Linked DNA regions of Caenorhabditis elegans. The protein of the gene in region 2 interacts with the protein of the main gene of each other region in a pairwise test. Each region holds a gene or a part of one and is shown on either strand. Other genes may lie near its edges.

Region 1 (7,527 bases), on a different chromosome or scaffold from region 2:
ACGTTCAGGACGCCTACATCAGTGCTCACCATCAACTCGTGAATTTCGTGCGATTCTGCGAGCTTGTCGTTCCGTTGTCGGTGAATTTGCTCGTTATAACGCTGAGAACTGGCGAAGAGGCACGGAAGAATCAGGCAGAGTTCGAGGAACTCTCAAAGTGGGGGAAATTCGCCGGGAAAATTAGAAAATTTTGTGATTTCAGAAGCCTTGCGAAGCGCGGAGTGATGTTCAACGTCGAGTTCAGCACGACAATTCATGATCGGGAAATTATGTACAGATTTGAATTAATTTATCCCCCCGAAATGTGCTCAAACCTCTTGAAAAATTCGATAAATGGCCGGATTTTCGTTAAAATCTCCGGTTTCGACCACTTTTCTGCGTGGCAGCGGTCCGAAGTTCACTTTTATTTGATTATCCAATCTTTATTGCATATTTTGGTAGTTTATCTCTAAATATTTCGAAAAAAGTGGCCAAAAATGTCCAAAATATCTATATAAAGCCGGAAAATGACCGAAATTTGGCCAAAAAAGATTAAAAACGGCCAGAAATGCCCGAAATTTGCCAAAAATAACCAAAAAATTAATAAAATTAGTCACAAATTCCCGAAGTTGACCGGAAATCGCTAAAAATAGACTAGCAATGGTCAAAAAGAACCAAAGGAATGGCCAAAATGACCGAAATTGCCACAAAATATTGGAAAATGGCCAGAAATGTCCGAAAATTCGCCAAAACGAATGAAAATGACAGAAATTTTGATCATTTTTGGCCAATTTCGGTCATTTTTGGCTTATTTTTTGTCATTTTTTTTAGTAGATTTTGGCTTTTTTTGGTCAATTTCGGTAATTTTCAGTCAATTTGTAGTCATTTTTAGCCAATTTTTAATCATTTTTGTCCAATTTCGCTCATTTCGGCTTTTTTTTGGCCAATTTCGGTAATTTGCAGTCAATTTTTAATCATTTTTGGCCAATTTTTAGTCATTTTTGGCCAATTTTTAGTCAGTTTTGGCTAATTTTTAGTCAGTTTTGGCTTATTTCTGGTCAATTTCGGTAATTTTCAGCAAATTTTAGTTATTTTTCGCCAATTTTTAGTTATTTTCTGCCAAATTTTGGTAATTTTTGGCCCATTTCGTTAATTTTCAATCAATTTTTAGCTATTGTTGCACAATTTCGGTCATTTTTGGCTTATTTTTGGTCAATTTCGGTCATTTTTAGCCAGTTTCGATCATTTTTGACTAATTTCAGTCATTTTTGGCCAATTTTTAGTCATTTTCTGCCCAATTTCGGCCAATTTTTAGTCACTTGGCCATTTTTAGCCAATTTTTGATAACTAATTTCGTTAATTTGAGTTAAAAAACGATTTTAATGCATTTTTTAAATTATTTTCCAGATTCGACAACGGTTGGGTGGTGAAAAGTGGCCGCGGGCTCGACTATTTCAAAGCTTCCGATGGGAAATATGTGCTCGGCGCCAACGATATGGATCAGCGGCCGTGCCACGAGACTATTATCAATATTTTGAAGCGGAAAACTTGATTTTTCGTGTATTTTTTCAATGTTTTCTGTGAATTATCACACTTTTCCGGTTGTAAATAGTAATTTATCTCGATTTTTTCACCAATTTGCCAGAAAAAATGCCATTTTTCCAATTTATTGTGTGTTTTTTTTTCATTTTTTAAAAAGCTATTTCTTGGTTTCCAACCAGCGAATTATCGATTTTTCCCCCACAATTTTCCGTTTATTTTCTGCTTAATCCACATTTCCACTGGAAATTTTCCAGCACGATGGTCAAGAAGCAAAGTATGCCGGAGAACAAGGAGCTCGTCGAGTACAAGCAGAAGCTCTTTGCCGAAGCCGAGAGGCTCGTCAAAGAGGAATTTCCGAAGAAAGTTATCGAGTTCGACGCGTTGCTCAAGAGCCCAAAGCTCTCGTACGATCGTCTCGCCGAGATTCTTCCCGATAAATCGTTGAATATTCCGATTCCGGATGCGTTGGTACGGAGGGGAAAAATATCGAAAAAAAAAATAGTTTTTTCTCAAAAAATAGCGATTTCCGTGTGAAATTTTCAAGTTTTTTAACGCTTTTTTGCTGAAATTGACTGAAACTGGCTCCAAACATTAAAAAAATACTTTTTTTGCGTTGAAAATACCGAAATTTTATTTAAATTTTGATTTTTTCCTGTAAATTTGCAAATTTTTGCTTTTTTTTAAAGATTTTTGCACAAAAAAAATCAGATTTCTGTGAAATTTTCAAGTTTTTTAGGCTTCTTTAACGCTTTTTTTGCTGAAATTGACTGAAACTGGCTCTAAACATTTTTTTTAACGGCCCTAATTTTTTTGCCAAAAAGGCGATTTCCGTGTGAAAATTTCAAGTTTTTCGAGTTATTTTTTCGCTGAAAAAGACTAAAACTCGCCAAAAACGATCCGGATTTCGGGAAAAAAACCAATTTTTGCTGAAAATCGAATTTTCGAATAAATTTTTATGTTGTATCATGGAATACAGCTGAATTTTGCTGGAATCTCACAGAAACGACTAAAATTTGGTTCATATCCGCCTAAAATATGCAATAAAGGGTTATAATTTAATGAAAACTAAAAATCTCAGAAAAAATTCGAAAAATGTGCAGAATTTTGCTAAAATTTGAAATTTCTAATTAAAAAATAGGGTTTCTTGAATAAATTTCAATAAACCCAATTTTTAATCGGAAATTTCGAATTTTTGCAAAATTCTGCACATTTTTCGAATTTTTTCTGAGATTTTTAGTTTTCATTAAATTATAACCCTTTATTGCATATTTTACGTCGATAGGCAACCAATTTCGGTAATTTCTGAGAGATTTTAGCGAAATTTAGCTGGATTCCATGGCTGCAGCTGCTTCGACAAGAAAATTTTGTGAAAATTTCGGATTTTAGCGATATTTGGCTCTTTTTATCTGAAATTCTGGGCGTTTGGCGCAAGTTTTAGTCTATTTCAGCAAAAAAACATATTAAAAAAAAACTTTAAACTTTCAGAGAAATCGCCTTTTTTGCGAAAAAAATCTCAAAAAAAAAAGCAAAGATTTACCAATTTACTGGAACAAATCAAAATTTAATGAAAATTCCGGTAATTTCAGAGAAAAAAACCAAAAAAAAAGTTTTATTTTTAATTTTTGGAGCCAGTTTCAGTCCATTTCAGCAAAAAAAGCGTAAAAACTTGCAAAAAATAATGTAAAAAAATAAAAAATTTGCCAATTTACAGGAAAAAATCAAAATTTAAAGAAAATTCCGGTTATTTCAAAATTAAAAACCAAAAAATAGTCTTTTTAAAATGTTTGGAGCCAGTTTCAGTATATTTCAGCAAAAAAAGCCGTAAAAATTCGAAAATTTCACAGAAATCGCCTTTTTATTCCAAAAATCCTATCAAAAAAAGCAAAAATTTGCCAATTTCCAAAAAAAGGGGAAAACATTTTTAAAAAATAGTATTTTTACAATTTTTGGAGCCAGTTTCAGTTTATTTCAGCAAAAAAAAGCGTTAAAAAGCCTAAAAAACTTGCAAAAAAATGTTAAAAAATAAAAAATTTGCCAATTTACAGGAAAAAATAATAAAATTTCGGTAATTTCAGAAAGAAAAACGAAACACCTTTTTTAATCGTTTGGAGCCAGTTTCAGTATATTTCAGCAAAAAAAGCCGGAAAAATTCGAAAATTTCACAGAAATCGTCTTTTTTTTTTGCAAAAAAAATATCTCAAAAAAGCAAAAATTTACCAATTTACAGGAAAGTATGAACATTTAAATAAAATTTCGGTAATTTCAGAGAAAAGAACCAAAAAAATAGTTTTTTTTTTTGACATTTTTCGAGCCAGTTTCAGTTTAATTCAGCAAAAAAAGCGTTAAAAAACCTTTAAAAAACATGAAAATTTCACAGAAATCGGTTTTTTGCGAAAAAAAAAGTTTAAAAAAATCTCAAAAATGGAAAAATTCACCAATTTCCATTAAAATCACTGCAACTTTTTCCTCACGAGGGACGAGGAAAAGTGGTTTCTAGGCCATGGCCGAGGGGCCGACAAGTTTCAGCGGCCATTTATCTTGCTTTGTTTTCCGCCTGTTTTCTTTCGTTTTTCATCGATTTTTCCCGTTTTTTCTTATTAAAACTGATAAATAAATACTTTTTGCAAATGCTAAAACAATTTCCAAGTAAAAAAATTATGTATTCAGTGGGCAAGCAGCGGTGAAAGTGGTCAATGCAATATGATGGATTACGGGAATACAAAACCTAAACTTTTTCTGAAACATGATACATATGATGCTTAGATGCTGAAATTACCTGATTTTCATAACGAGACCGCTGAAAAAGTTTTGAGGTTTCCAAATTCAACTTTTTTGGTGAAAAAGTCGAGATTTTCGCACAAAAATTTGAATTTTGAAAACCTCAAAACTTTTTCAGCGGTCTCGTTATGAAAATCGGGTAGTTTCAGCATTTAAGCAGCATATGTATCATGTTTCAGAAAAAGTTTAGGTTTTGTATTCCCGTAATCCATCATATTACAATGCCCACTTTCACCGCTGCTTGCCCACTGAATACATAATTTTTTTACTTGGAAATTGTTTTAGCATCTGCAAAAAGTATTTATTTATCAGTTTTAATAAGAAAAAACGTGAAAAAGCTGTGAAAAACGAAAGAAAACAGGCGGAAAACAAAGCAAGATAAATGGCCGCTGAAACTTGTCGGCCCCTCGGCCATGGCCTAGAAACCACTTTTCCTCGTCCCTCGTGAGGAAAAAGTTGCAGTGAAAATATCAAAATTTAAAGAAATTTTCTCTGTAATTTTTTTTTCAACGCGAAAAAAAAACCAAATTTTTGCAGAACGGCACCACGGACAGCGATGAGCCAGCGGTAAAGCGTCAGCGAGTCGACGAGAAGCCCAAAGGAGCCCCGATCTTCGCGTTCAGCAGCGGCACTGTCCCATGCAACGAGAATCTCGCCCAACTCATGGATCTGGTTCGCCCGAAGCTTCGTGACGCTGTCGAGCAGTGTAACAACGTGAAAATGTGGATCACTTTGCTCATTCCACGCATCGAAGACGGCAATAATTTCGGCGTCGGAATCCAAGAGGAGACACTGTCCGAAGTTCGGAATGTCGAAAGCGAGGCCGCCTCGTTTTTGGATCAAATGAGCCGATATTTTACGACTCGTGGAAAGCTTATCACGAAGATTGCTAAATATCCACATGTGGATGATTATAGACGTGCTATTCTTGATATGGACGAGAAACAGTTCATTAATATTAGGTTGGAGCAGCAGAAATTAGCGAAAAATTGAATTTTTTAATGAAAAAAAGTTTAAATTTCGGAATTTTCAAAAAAAAACCGATTTTTTCTAGGTTTTTTTCCTTTTTTTGGTCTAAAAAATCTATAAAAATTTTAAAAATTGCAACAAAAAGAAAAAAAGCGGATTTTTTCAAAGGTTTTTCCTTTTTTGAGCTATTTTTAAAACCTTTTTAGCCTAAAAATCCAAAAAAAAACCCGAAAAATTGCAAAAAATGTTCAAAACAGTTCAATAATATTAGGTTGGAGCGAAATAGCGAAAAATTGAATTTTTGAAGAAAAAATCTCACTTTAAAAATTTTCAAAGAAAAAGTCGAAAAACGGATTTTTTTGAAAAGTAAAACACTTTTTTTGCCGTTTTTTGGTCTAAAAAATCCAAAAAAAAAAACCTTAAAAAAAATTGTTTTTTTTTAATTTTAAAAATACAAATCATCTCATAAATATTAGGCTGGAGCGAAAATTAGCATAAAATATCGAATTTTTAAAAATTTCACAAAAAGAAAGAAGAAAACACATTTTTTCAAGGTTTCTTGCCTTTTTGCTAAAAGGCTAATTTACTAATTATTTATGCTAATTTTTGTTAAAAGGTTGCCTTTTTTTTTTGTCTAAAAAATCCCAAAAAAACCTTTAAAAATTGTTGTTTTTTTTAAATTTTTTCAAAATAAAATAAAAACCATTTCATAAACATTAGGTTGGAGCGAAAATTAGCGAAAACATTTTTTTGAAAGAAAAAATTTCAATTTTAGAAATTTCACAAAAGAAAACCAAAAAAAAAAAAAGCGAAGACACATTTTTCGCTACTTTTTTCGTTGTTTTTGCTAAAATTAAAAATCTAACTTTTAGAAACGCGATTTTTCAGTTTTGGCTAAATTCCCTCCAAAATGAGAACTTCCCGACCAATCAGCGATTCGCTCCGCCCACATTTATCTAACCAATCAGATGGAGTGGGCGGAGTTCCACGTCGCTGATTGGTCGGGGAGTTCTCATTTTGGAGGGAATTTAGCCAAAATTGAAAAATCGCGTTTTAAAAGTTAGATTTTTAATATTTATTTTTTGCAATTTTTCTGAATATAAAAAACCGAAAATAGTTTTAAAAACGAAAAAAAAAAAATTAAAAATATTATAATTCTATTTAAAACCCAAAAAATCTTTAAATAAAAGAAAACCAGAACTCAAAAAAAATTATTTGAAAAAAACCAATAAAAACACGATTTTTCGAATTCCCTCCAATATGAAATCTCCCCGACCAATCAGCAACTCCGAGCTCCGCCCACTCCATCTGATTGGTTTAAAAGTGGGCGGAGCGAATCGCTAATTGGTCGTGTGCAGTTCTCATTTTGGAGGGAATTTTTTTTTTATATTTGTAAAGTTTCCGAAAATTTATTGAATTTCTGTGTGTTTCAGATTGGTGGTTCTCGAGATGCGCAATCACTTCTCCACACTTCACGATATGATTATGAAGAACTATGAGAAGATCAAGGTTCCACGCACCTCCAACACCGAACATCTTTATTAAGGAATTGAATCCATCATCCTGTTTTAATGTTTGCTTCGGTCTCAAATTTTACCCAATTTTTGATTGTTCTTTCGAGTTTTTTATTATTATTGTTGAATTGTTTTTTTGTCCCAGTTTTTTTTGTTTATTCTCCGCATTTTTAGGAGCTCTATTAAGACTAATTTTTCTTTTTCTTTCTGTTAAAATTTTGTGAAATTTTCAAGGTTTTTTGGCCTTTTTTATCTACCTTTTTCTCATTATTGCTTAAAAATCAAAAAAAAAAGTGAAAAAATTAATTTTAAAAAAAGACTTTTTGCATCTTTTTTTTTTTGAACAAAAACTCCAAAATTTCAAATTTAAGCAGTTTTTTCATGGGTTTTCTGAATTTAGGATTTTCTGGAGAAAAATTGCCTTTAAAAAAAGGCAAAAAAACCCTGAAATTTTCCACAAAATTTTTACCGAAAAAATTTGAATAAAAAATCCAAAAAAAAAAAGATTTTTCTGAAATTTTGGTCAAAAATTTTTTAAAGTTTTTTTTTAGTTTTGTTAAATTCCGCCATTTTTTTTTTTTTGAAATTTAAAACTCAATATTTCACTTTTAATACAATTTTATAGGGCTTCAGCGCTAAATTAGCATTTTTGAAAAAAATTTAGCGTTGCAGCCTTGTAAAATTGTACTAAAATTGAAGTATTGAGTTTTAAATTTCGAAAAAAATGGCGGAATTTGAACAAAAC
Region 2 (3,627 bases):
TACCTATTTTTTGGAATGGGAACTGGTTTTTTCTCGAAACCTTTGACCAAAGGAAACATCTAGAAAAATGAAATCAGCACATTTTTTGAGAGCAATTTAGAAAAGAAAAGACAATAAAATGAAACAAATTTCAATGTTTTTTTCTCGACTCTATTGTTAATATACTCTGAAGCGTAACAAAGGTGTGAATAGTGGATCTCCTATTGATCGGCAGGAATGACACGGAAGATGAGACGGACAGCCGGGAGAAAAAAGATATTACGGAAGATTTTGAGACGCAGATTGATGGGAATTGGACTTGTGACTTCTTGTTTTCCGGAGATTCTTTACTATATCATAATTTTATTGACAGATATCCTTCACTGGTGGGCTGAAAATATAATAGAGTCCCCAGAAATACGGCACCGGGTCTCGTCGCGAAACACCATCATTAAATAGAAAAGTGAGTGTGCCTTTAGAGATTACTGTAATTTCTTTTTATTGATTTACGAAAAAATAATTTTCCACTAATTTTTCGATGAAGAACTTTTTATTTTTCGAAAAGTTTACAAAAAAAACTTTAATACATCCACTGAAACAAAAATTTGAAGTTACAGTACTCTTTAAAGGCACACACCTTTTTGTGTGCGAAAATTTGACGAGACCTGCTACCGTATTCTTTGGGAAAAATCATGAAATTTATCTGGCCAGATCTGGACAATTATAATTAAAAAAATATATTTTCAGGAAAATCTGATTGAATATTGGAAATCGTTGTTTATTCTCAGAGATTATTATTTGCAAAATCTGCATTTATATGTCTAAATAACACTAGCTAGTGCACTAGGCTAAAAATTGAAAGATTCATTATTTCAAAATTTGCAAAATTTTACCTCCACCGAGGTCTGAGTTGAGTAAAAACATTTTGTTCACATTTTCGCGATTGAATTGATTATTTAAAAAATTAAGCACTAATAAAATATATTTTTAACGTCGAATATTAAAATTTTTCCAAGAACTTTGTTCTCCAGAATTGTTCATCTCGAAATCTGCAGCATCTCTGGTGCCAGCAAGTGCGCTCCAATGCGAACATTTCATTTAAATTTTTTTTTTTTCGTTCTTTTTTTAACAGATTTTATCAATTTTTTGCGATTTTCATTATTTTTTCAAGTAAAAAACATATTTAATGTTATTTCTTATATTTCACAATATTAATTCAACTATTAAAAAACAATTGCATCGATTTCTGGGTGGGTTATCATGCGAAACCGATAAAAACCGTTATTATTATTATTATAATGACTCATAAGTTTCTCCAAGGAATTCGAATTCTGCTTTCACATTCCTTTCCGACCGTTCACTTTCTTCCTATATTTACTCTCCTCGTTTTCCTCTGTATTTCTCCAACTTTTCGCCTTATTATCTGCGTCTCTCTCCGCTTTTGATTTCTGTATGTATTTGCGATGCAAATCGATCGTATGCGGGTTTTTCCTTTTTTAACACAGCTTTCTCCTCTTAAAATTCACTCAAAAATCATGATTTTCATTTCAGCAGTTTCACAATGAACGAAGAGGGTGGATATCTTGGAGCGATGACATATCAATGCCTGTACAGTCCTGTGATGGAAAAAATTAAGTGGGTTTCAAGAAATATCAGTTTTTAAACATAATAATTTAAAAAATATATTTTAGACAGCAACATCGTGATGATCCAAGAGCTTCTCTCGCCCTAAACGTAAGCTATTCTATATAAGAATATTTTCTATGAATTTTATACTGTTAAACGAAAAAAAATAAATTAACAAAGAATTATTCAGAAACTGCACACTGCACTGACCACTTGTGAACAAGCTTCTCCGTCGTTTCTCTATGATTTCACAAAAGTTTTGCTGGATGACTCGGAATTGAGCGTTAATCTGCAGGAATCCTATCTGAGAATGCATGACACCTCGCCGACAAATGATTTGATTGTCAGTGGATATGAGCAGAATGCTGATTATAAAGAGCTCACGAAACGGTAATCAAATTAGATAATTTTTTTCAAAATTCCTGGCGTACGAAAAAAATTACAGAGCAATCGAGCTTCGTCGTGTTCTGTCCCGGGTTCCCGAAGAAATGTCGGATCGTCACGCCTTCCTGGAGACCATCAAGCTCATCGCATCATCAATCAAGAAACTTCTTGAGGCAATAAACGCCGTCTACAGAATTGTTCCACTCACTGCGCAGCCGGCCGTTGAGAAACGTAAACGGGAATTTGTGCACTACTCGAAAAGATTCAGTAACACTTTGAAGACGTATTTTAAAGATCAGAATGCAAATCAGGTTCGTGGGAAAAAATGTGCTTTTTTACTTAAATGCGTCGAAATTTGTCCTTGACTCCGAATATCTATGTGAAAAATTCAAAAGCCCCGGTTTTTCTGGGAAAAAATTCGCACTGAAATATAAAATCAGGGAGATTTTTTTTTAATTTTTTCACATCGATATTCGGCAAATTTGGACTTTTTTTTAAAATAAAAACCTGTAAATTTTCCCCAAATCTTGGGAAAATCAAACTAAATTCTTGAATAATATTAAAATCCATTTTTTTAAAACAAATTCTGAGCCTAAATTCAATGTTTGCAGGTATCCGTGTCCGCCAACCAACTGGTTTTCCAAACGACAATGATAGTCCGCACAATCAACGAAAAACTTCGCCGAGGATAAGCTCACCCATATGGCGGCTTATAACTGTGATCTACTAGACGGCTCTTTCCTTTTGCATGTGTTTTACTTTCATTTTTTGTTCACTTAATTTCTTGTTCTCATCCACACACTCATCACTTTATACATCGGATCTGCACACTTTCTTCTTTCTATGATTTTTCCTTTCCCAATTTTCTGTTTATTGACTGAAATTTTAGGAAAATGATTAACGTATTATGCTTTATATGGTTTTTCGGATTTTTTTCACTTCAAAAATATTGTAATAAGTAGCTCAATTATCATTCTTCCTTTCTTTTTCATGTGCCTTTCTTTGATTTTTCCTCGTTTTTTCACCCACTGATGTACTAGATTTTTTTCCATAAGTCGGTTTCTTCTCCAAATAACGTGATAAATTATTCAGAAATTTTTAATATTTTAATTGACTGTATTGCAATTCTTGTTGTCGAAAACTTATTATATATCTAATTAACTTCACTTTAAAAAATTTCAGACCAATTTTAAATTAATTTCAGAATTTAAAAAATGGATGACGAAGAGGATCTGTTCGGCTCGGATGCCGAAGATGACAAGGAGAAGGTGGTAAATCCGGAGGATAAGAAGCACGTGCTGAGACGAGATTTGAGATCAATGGTCTATGGCTTTGGAGATGATAAGGTTGGTAACAGGGCTGTGCAACTTTTTGAATCAAAATTTATTTGCATTTCTATAACAAATTAAAAAGAAATTAAATGAGCGGTTTTTCTAAGATTCCGATTGATAATTTCCTGAATTGTTTATAAATAAATGTTTCAGGAGCCATACGACAAGACCCTGGACACTCTTGAGGCCATTGTCCTAAACTACATCAAAGAGTTATGCCAACTGGCGATGAAAGTTGGAAAACCGGATAAAATGGCACTTGAGGACATTCACTATCTGATTCGTCGTGATCCGAAGAAGTTCTCGA

The links.
Region 1: the proteins of ccm-3 (region 2) and psme-3 interact in a two-hybrid assay, tested with the Caenorhabditis elegans proteins (one large-scale study listed by BioGRID).

What each region holds. Positions count from the first base shown.
Region 1 is NC_003281.10:11,566,362-11,573,888, forward strand, and holds psme-3 (Proteasome activator complex subunit 3), read left to right. Parts: upstream 1-1,775; 5' UTR 1,776-1,779; coding exon 1,780-1,989; intron 1,990-4,836; coding exon 4,837-5,261; intron 5,262-6,701; coding exon 6,702-6,813; 3' UTR 6,814-6,982; downstream 6,983-7,527. Other genes in the region: Y66D12A.10 (MITD1 C-terminal phospholipase D-like domain-containing protein), read left to right, coding at 1-157, 203-271, 1,387-1,531.
Region 2 is NC_003280.10:10,605,179-10,608,805, reverse strand, and holds ccm-3 (Programmed cell death protein 10 homolog), read left to right. Parts: upstream 1-1,530; 5' UTR 1,531-1,540; coding exon 1,541-1,614; intron 1,615-1,670; coding exon 1,671-1,713; intron 1,714-1,795; coding exon 1,796-1,995; intron 1,996-2,050; coding exon 2,051-2,300; intron 2,301-2,600; coding exon 2,601-2,681; 3' UTR 2,682-3,089; downstream 3,090-3,627. Other genes in the region: taf-13 (Transcription initiation factor TFIID subunit 13), read left to right, coding at 3,204-3,335, 3,474-3,627. UniProt on the Caenorhabditis elegans protein: Involved in excretory canal elongation during postembryonic development. Plays a role in promoting Golgi stability, ER integrity and vesicle transport probably by regulating the activation of Rho GTPase cdc-42. Involved in fertility.